Regions from separate parts of the Mus musculus genome. Here region 2 is reported to be linked to region 1. Evidence: microRNA targets listed by miRTarBase, many of them from high-throughput screens and not tested one by one. Region 1 holds a microRNA gene; the other region holds the end of a gene's coding sequence.

Evidence for each region. The annotated mature microRNA mmu-miR-124-3p reads UAAGGCACGCGGUGAAUGCC and lies in region 1 at 2,173-2,192, opposite strand. An mRNA with a match to its seed (bases 2 to 7 or 8) in the 3' UTR can be bound and repressed. Matches are read on the target gene's strand: a 7mer-m8 pairs with bases 2 to 8, a 7mer-A1 pairs with bases 2 to 7 and ends in A, and an 8mer does both.
Region 2: miRTarBase lists Map2k3 as a target of mmu-miR-124-3p. The part of its 3' UTR that is shown has no 7-base or 8-base seed match.

Annotation. Positions count from the first base shown.
Region 1 is chr2:180,892,127-180,896,274 of GRCm38, reverse strand. Mir124a-3 (microRNA 124a-3) reads right to left here and starts at 2,235; the gene lies at 2,168-2,235.
Region 2 is chr11:60,951,098-60,955,097 of GRCm38, forward strand. It overlaps Map2k3 (mitogen-activated protein kinase kinase 3), which reads left to right. Exons shown (of 12, transcript NM_008928.5): 11 at 61-106; 12 at 667-1,714. The coding sequence ends at 750. Among named protein-coding and RNA genes, the nearest start is that of Map2k3, 21 kb to the left of the region's middle.

The DNA of each region.
Region 1 (4,148 bases):
AGCAGACAGTGCTGCACCCTGAGCACAGTAAGGATTGAAAAATGGCCTTCCTACCGAATGCCCCATGTCTGCTAGCCATGCCCAGATTGGTCCTGTGCCCCTGAACTGAAGCCCCTAGCCTCCACTGAAGGGGGTGCAATGAAGGTGAGTGAAGGTGATTGCTACTCAACCTGGGCTGGGGCACAGGGCAGCTTGCCATGGGCTTTACCGCCTATCCACTCTCCAGCCCACCTCCCTTACCATCCTCCCCACCCCGATCTCTGCTCACAGCCCAGAAGGTCACTGTGGTCAGGAGCCAACTCTCCAGCAAGGGCAGCGGTGGCACAAGAATGGAGCTCTAGTTCCAGGGGAGAGGCAGGGGGAATCTTCCCTCTGGGAAAAGAGCCAGGCTGCAGTGTAGAGCACCCCCAACAGAGCTCAACGAGGGGCATAGTCCTGTGCCCCCTAGGAACCTTTACACTAGAGGACTGATACCTCTACCAATTCCTTCAGTATTGCTTTGAGTTCACCTTGCAGCTCTTCTGAGGGAGGAAGGGAAAAAGAGACAGCAAGCCCAAGGTCAGAGCTGTGGTATGCTTGGGCCCCTTCTCCACCCTCCAAGAGGCAGAGGTTCTGCAGAGGCTCTGCTTTGGGGACAGGATGCAAAGGCACTAGTGGTCTATGAGTGTGTGACTGTGTGCATCTCTCCATGGAGTACTGAAGCAGTCTCCCTGCAGCATCTCTTTGTGTCTTCACGCGGGCCCTTTTGTCTTGCTTTTCTGCAACTGCACAGGACTTGAGGCTAGGAGAATTTGGGCGGTCAGTTCTGGATCTGGGTCAGAGCCAGGAAAGGGGCTCACACTCACCCCATGAAGATGAAAAGCAAGTCTGCAACTTGTCTGAGGGGGTGGGGGTGCAGAGGTTGTGACCTCCTCCACTGACAGTCAATCCTAGGTCATCAGTTTCCAACCTGTGTATCAGGACTCCTTTGCCAAACTCTATCTCTAAAAATATTTACATTAGGATTCATAACAGTAACAAAATTGCAGTTATGAAGTAGCAACAAAATACGAAGTAGCAACGAAAATAATTTTATGGTTGGGGGGAGGGGTCACCACAACATGAAGAACTCTATTAAAGGGTAGCAGCATTCTGAAGGTTGAGAACCATTGCCCTAGGTAATAGGGCCTGTAACCTTGGGGATCGGAAACCTTGCTGGGAGGAGACATGCCAGAGCAGAGTCTCATACCAGGACGCCAGCAGGTGGCGCTGGCTGCCGAGGACAGGAAAAAAAATGCCTGCAGCAGACCTGAGTGGGTGTCACTGCGGCTGCAGATGGTGGTGGGGGAGGGAGGAGGAGGATTTGTCATTTTCTCTCTGGGCTGCAGAGCCTCACGTGCCTCGCGTCCCGCATAGCTGGAGAGAGGTTTGGGGGCGGGATGCGGTCCAGTGTATCCACCCAGATTTAGACCTTGGATGCAGATGCAGATCCCCCACTTCCACAGCTCGAACCTCAACCTAAGGTTCAGGGGTTTCTTCAGAATCAAAGTGATCACCGCCTTCACCCTGCGACCCCAACTAGAGCGCCCAGGGGACAGACTGCAGTGACCCCAGACCCTACCCCATTTCTCTGGGGTTGCTGCGGCAACTATCCAGGGCCCCCTAGATGGGAACAGTGATACTCATGACATCCCTTCGCCCCAAGCGCATTAGCGCCCCGTCTCTCTGGGTGACTCCACGGCCAGCACCGAGGACAGCGCCCAGGACTGCCCGTGGGTAGCGGGACGCGCCAACACAACCCGGGAAGCTGCACACTTCCCTCCCGCGCCCCTCAGCCCGCCGCTTCCCCAGCCCCTCCCTTTGTCTTCTGGCCCTCGTCTCCCTCTTCGGGATCTCGAGCACTCAGAGCTGCGGACACACGTGGTCAGGGGCCGGGTGGCCACATTCTCCCCCGCGGTCGCCCCCACCCTTCTCGTGACGTCCTAGGCATGCGGGCCCCTTTGTGTCCCGCGGCCAGATCCCCGGCCCAGCAGCTGGGCCGCCCTCTGGGCGGGCGCATTGTTCGCCGGATTTGTCCGCGGAGCGAGGGGCCACCGGGGGCCGGGGCTCGCCTTTTTCCCGCGGGAGGGGCGCCGCGACGGCCGGGCTCCCGGGCCATTTCCATGAGAAAGGAGCGGCGGAGGCGCCTCTCTTGGCATTCACCGCGTGCCTTAATTGTATAGACATTAAATCAAGGTCCGCTGTGAACACGCAGAGGGGCCCTCAGGGCTGCGGCGGGCGGCGAGCGGCTGGACCGGGTCGGGGCCGGGCTGCGGCTTGCGTGGGGTCCTAGCCTGAGGGGCGCGAATGCTCCAGCTTCTTCGCCGCGGGGCGGGCGGGCGGGGCGGGGCTCCGCGCTAAGCTGGCAGTGCTGCCCTGGTCCGCCCCCAACTCCGAGGAGCCAGTTTTCCTTCCCCTCCCCGAGGTAGAGAAGGGCCCGGGCAAATCCCTCGGGGCGTTCCTGCAGTAGGGACCCCTCGGAGCCGCGGCGAGGGAGATGCAGGAGCCGGCCGGGGTGAGCGCGCGTGCTCCGGCCTGCTGCAGTCTTCTGACGGGTGCAGAGCCCTCTCCACCCCGGCGGCGCAAGCCTCTCCGCAGCTGCCCTTCCCCGGCTCCTCTTCCCGGCCCCACCAGGAGTGCGTGAGTGCGGTGAAAATAAAGAACCTCGATGTTCGGAGATGAAAAGCAGTCTCTTTCTACAACCCGCCGAGCTCTCTTCTCTTACGCCTCTGGCTGGCGAGAAGCTGCTCGAGGAGAGAAAGACGGGGTGACCTGAGAGACCGGCTCGCCCCGGCACGGGCCGCCAGCGCAGTTACCCGTCCGGGCGCGAGCCGCCGCCGCCTGCTGCTTCTCGGTTGCCGCCTCCGCTCCGCAGCACAGCCTGCGCTGTCGCCCGATCCCGCCTCCGCCTCCTTCTTGGCGCCCGCAGGACCCGCACGCTACGGCCCCGGGTGGAGGAGAGCGCAGGGACAGTGCCAAGGAAGCCGGGCAAATTCCTGAGGGCCGGGTGGGAGCCCGGCGTCCGCGAGGTCGGCACTGCGGGAGTCTGACTCCCACTCTCCTTGCCTAGACCGGGTGCGACCGTCCCCGCGCTCGCCGCCGCCGCCGCTGCCTCCGCTCGTATCCGCGCTCGGCTCCGGCACCGGGCGATTATCACTGGGGCGCGCGGTGACGTCACCCGACACCGGCTCTGCCGCCTCCTCTCGGAGGTGTCCTTGAGAACTGAGGGGCACGCGCACCGCGTACACGCGCACTCACGCACCGCGCGACCCGTGCCTCCCGCGCACACGCTCGGCGTCCCGCTCCGCGCGCTCCTCGACTCACACGGATGCAGCCCTCGAACGCCTTCGATTGTGCCCGGCGCCCCGGGGTCACACGTATGCAGAGAAACTGCCTCTTGGACACTCTCGAACCGCTCATTCTGTCCTACTGCACGACCCACGCAAAAGCTTCTCCCGCAGCCCACCGACCGCAGCTCCTCTACACCCACCACCAGCCACACCCCGCTGTGCAGCGAACACACTGTGCTTGCCTCACACAAGCGGCTGGTCCTTCCGGAATAACCACTCTACACAGTGGCTTCTGAGCCTCTCTCTCCTGGGGGGGGGAAAGAAAGGGGTCCTAGCCTCCTGCTGGCGGCCCTATGTGGAGAAGGGAGTTAGACATCTCCCCCAACCCCCATCAGAGACTGCTCCCCTTTTTCACCCTTTTTCTAGCTGGGTAGCGAGTCCTTGCTTACGAGGATGGGAGAAACACAGTCCATACTTCACAGTTGACTGCAATTGAATCTACTCTTTGCAGTCTATTGAAGGGTGACTACCTTGATCTGGGTCTTTAGGGCTAGAGATCAGCGGCTTTCCAAAAATAAAAAACAAAAAAAAAAAAAAAAAAAAACCCACGCCACTCTAGGCCTTCCCAGCGGGCCTTTGTTCCTGCAGACTGGAAGAACCACACAGAAGTAGGCAGGCCTCTGTCCTATCCTTTCTCCCTGGGCCAACCCAGCCCTTGACCACCTGCCCTCTAACAGAAGCTAAATGACCCAGGCATAAATTCTTCCCCCTCCCTTTCCAACCTTCTCCAGCCCCGTGGGAACCCCCGAAGACACTCAGCTGGGAAGGAGGTAATCTCCG
Region 2 (4,000 bases), not on the chromosome of region 1:
CCCAGCCTGTCTGGATTCGCTTCCTCCGTGTGAGCCTGTCTTCACTGCCCTCTTTCCTAGCCTAAGGAAGAACCCTGCAGAGCGCATGAGCTACCTGGAGCTGATGGTGAGTGTGCACGAGAAGTACCTGCCCTGTCCCCTGTGCTGTGTAGTGGCTGGGTGGGGCTGGGTGGGACTGTCTGGAAGAGGGTTGCACTCCAGGGTAGAGAGGTAGCTCTTCTGCCTGGCCCTTGCATGTGCTTGTGTAGTTTCACCTTCACCCATGCCTGTACCCCAGGCCTTGTGGAAAGGTGCACGGGGCTGTGACAGTGGGGCACAGGAGTCACTGTGGCATCAGGGAAGGCTTCCTAGAGGAGATGCCATTTGAGCTGAGCCTGGAAGGATGGGTATGGGCTCTTTGCTAATGAAGGAAGGGTAGAGGGTCTGGTAGGGCAGAGGTCTGGTACCCTTGAGGAAAGAGATGTTTGTGTGGCAGGAGGGACTCTTGTAGGAGGGTGAGGCAGAGTCACAAGCTTTGATGGTTTTGGAGGGCTTCGAGGGGCAGCGGTCCTGGATGGACCAGCAGGAGTTGGCCAGGTAGGAGGGGCATGAAAAGAGGGAACCTCTCCTTTATACTTTCTCCTGTGCCCCTTCACCCCTAGAAATTGTACCTCTCTTTCCTACCAGGAACACCCATTCTTCACCTTGCACAAAACTAAGAAGACAGACATTGCTGCCTTTGTGAAGGAGATCCTGGGAGAGGATTCATAGGGACTGGCCCAGGACCCCACTGGTCTGCCAGCATCCATACATCCGTGCTGGGGCAGCACTTACCTACAGCCATAAGCTACTGCCATTCTGTTCCTGGGCATTTGAGAAATTAAGGGGTTGTTCCTGTCGGTCTCTGCAACTAGCTGTCCCAAGTGCCAAAGAACCAGACCTCAGGGGCTCCCAGCCAGGCCATATGTGCCCCACAGTGCCTCTGCTGTTGCTGCTCCCAGGGTCTCAGGCCTCTACCCAAGGGATGAATCTGACAGGGCCTGTGTACCCCGGCAAACGCTGTCGCTTCTGAAGAGCAGGCAGCTGGTGTCTCTCTGGACAGGCCATAGCCTTGGTACTGTCCTGGATGCCATGCAGGTTGTATATATATTTTAAATCACAACTGAATGAATGGACTTCGTACACTGTGGCCTGGATCAGGGACATCTCTATCCTGTCTCAGGTGCTGAGGACACACTATGGGGATGAATCTCCTAAGACTTTCCTGAGAGACGTACTGAGCTTCCCAAGGCCTTCCCCCCAGCACTGGCCAATGGTCTCTGAGGGACACACTGTCCTCAGACAGCCTCTGGTTACCACCTTTAGTGGTATCTGCCTTTCCCTTTGAACTATTATTCCTGTTGCCTTTTGCTTTGTGGGTATTGCTGGGTTTTCTTGCATGGTTTGGAGCTGACCACTTAACCCTGGGTGCCAGCAGGCTCACAGCCGCCCAGTGCTCGGACTGGAGTCTGCAAGGATGGCTCAAGCTCTTGGCTCAAAGCCACGAGGGAGCTGTAACAACTCTCCAGGTGTGACCAGCTCTTGGAAGCTAATAGGTTTACTTTGGTGGTGTTTTTAAAAAAAAAGAAGAAAATCTATTTTTGTGAAGAAAGGCCTGCCTCTTCCAGCCTTTTCCTGGGCAGGAACCTATTGCTGTTTTAATTAAAAAAAAAAAAAAAAATCGTGTGAGACTGACTGTGGCAAGCCTGCTCTTTCTTGGGGAGTTGTGGAGCCCTAGGCGGAATCCTTACTCTGGGACCATGCCGGGACAATATAGCTAGGGCCTGGAGGCTGCCAGCCCACCAGGGCCTCAGACTTGGCCACAGGCCACAGGTGCTCTCAAGGTGCTGGGCTGAGGTGCTTCATTCCATGGCCACCTAGGCTAGGCCCCTGTAGAGGCAACCTGACTCACTCATCCAAGTGATGGTCCCCGAAGTAGAGATGACCGGGTAGGAAGCAGCAGGCTCCACATTGTTTGCACTGCTATCTCAGCTGTAAGCTGAGAGAATGTGCCCAGAGAGCTCCCTAACACGTAGTCAGAGCCAGCTGAGGCCGAGGGCAGGTAGTGATGCCTACAAGAAGGCTCTGAGGATGCGACTTGGTATAAATGCCCTTGGTAGGTCAGCATGGCTCTGTGCTTCTTGAGCTGTTGCCTGGAAGACTTGCATAGGCCCCGTTACCCCTGTTCTCCTGTAAGCAGGAATGTGTCATCTCAGGCACTGGTGGATTCAGGACAATATCCTAAAGGACCTGTGTCCATACACTACTCTATGAGGTCATCAGGATCTAGTGACTGCTTCTCCTAGCTTGACAAACACAGGCACTCAGCCACAGTTCTCTGGAGGGTTACTCCTGGCTAGGAAGGACTCATGTGCTCATGCCCAAGTCAGAAGACTGGAGTGTAACTTCAGGCACAGGTGGGCCATGGGGAGAGTCAGCCCACACAGTTTGACAGCAGGGCCTTGGTGTGCCTGGGAGAGTCCAGAACCCATGGGGCCTCTGTCACCACTCTTCCTTCACCTCTGTGCAGTAGTTTCCCAGGTTCACAGTTTCACGGAGCCTCTCGCCTTTAGACATAGGTTGGTTCTTTCCCCCAAGATCTGTGTTGGTGGGTCCTGTCTCAGGATGGCATGATTTAAAAGAATGGCCCACCAGTCCCAACGCCATCAGGACACATGTGCCCTGCTACTGTATTCCTGTAAGAGGAAACTGCCAATCCTTAAAGGGACTTGGTTAACTTTCGTTGAAGAATAACATAAAGGTAGAACCAATGTCTGGCCGTGAGTACCCACAGGCTAAAGTGGGCGGGCGTTTCTTCTTGCGCATGCGCAGGTTCTTCTTTGCAGTAGTCTAGGTTGCGGCCAGATCGCCTTTTCCCTGGCCGCCAGGAGGCGGCAAAGCCTGGACCTAGTCCTGCCCTGCAAGCCTCTGTAGATTCTGCAGGGTACAGTGCTGTTCACACAGGGCTGAGGGAGCCGGCTTTGTAGCTGGCAAACCATTCCACTTCTAGAGTGCAGCGCGCTTTACAGAGTGTCCCGCGGCTGACCAGACAGGCTCTGTAGAACAGATAACAATTTGCAATTCTCCACCACGTGGGGCTCCAAAGGACTTAATAATTCACTTTGCTGAAATTTGCCTAGTGCCTCACAGCACATTCCTCTTTATAGTGCTGCAAATAGTGGTTTCGGTCCTTTTACTGTTTGGAAACCTTAGCCCACCATCCAGTGTGCAGATCACATTGACATTTCAAAGCATGGCCCCATGGCTACAGCGAAGGTCCCACCCCAGGCTCCTTGCTTAGTGGCAGGCCCCTCTTGTTCCTATTAACACTTCTTGAGTCAGGGCCAGGAGATTAGGAACCTAACAGGGCCCTACAGAGTACCCGTTGTCTCTGTTTCCCATCAGGCAGCGGCTGGAACCAGCAGGCATCTCTAGTCTTGGAGTTAATGTCTCTGGACTGATGGACACAGAGGCCTTTCTGTTTCAGGCGTTGCACAAGAGCCCTCAAACAGCACAAACACTACAGATAGATAGGCCTGTCCTAGAATGGCTTCTGGAGGACACGTGGCACTTACAGGACACCCCTTCCTGGAGGTCAGGGCTGGCAGCTTTGGTTCAATATCAGCATTGTTGCCTCCCTCAGAATTGTGCTGCAGCTCCTGCCTCAAAACTTCCCTGTAACAGTCAGCGCTGACCATTGGCTCACCCAGGAGACGAACCTCTAAGCATGACAGTGATGGAGTTTCTAGACTGGTCTCCCTGAGGTGGGACGACCTCACTCTGAATTCGGGTGGCACCATTCTATGGTGCAGTTTCCTGGACTGGATGAAGAGGAAGATGAGGTAGCAGTGTCTGTCTCCTGTTGCCTCTTGACCATGGATGCACCATCTCAAGCTCTGGCCACTGTGCCTTTCCTGCCATGATGAGCTGTACCCTCAAATGGACCAAAGGTTAAACCCTCCTCCTTTAAACTATCCTGTCA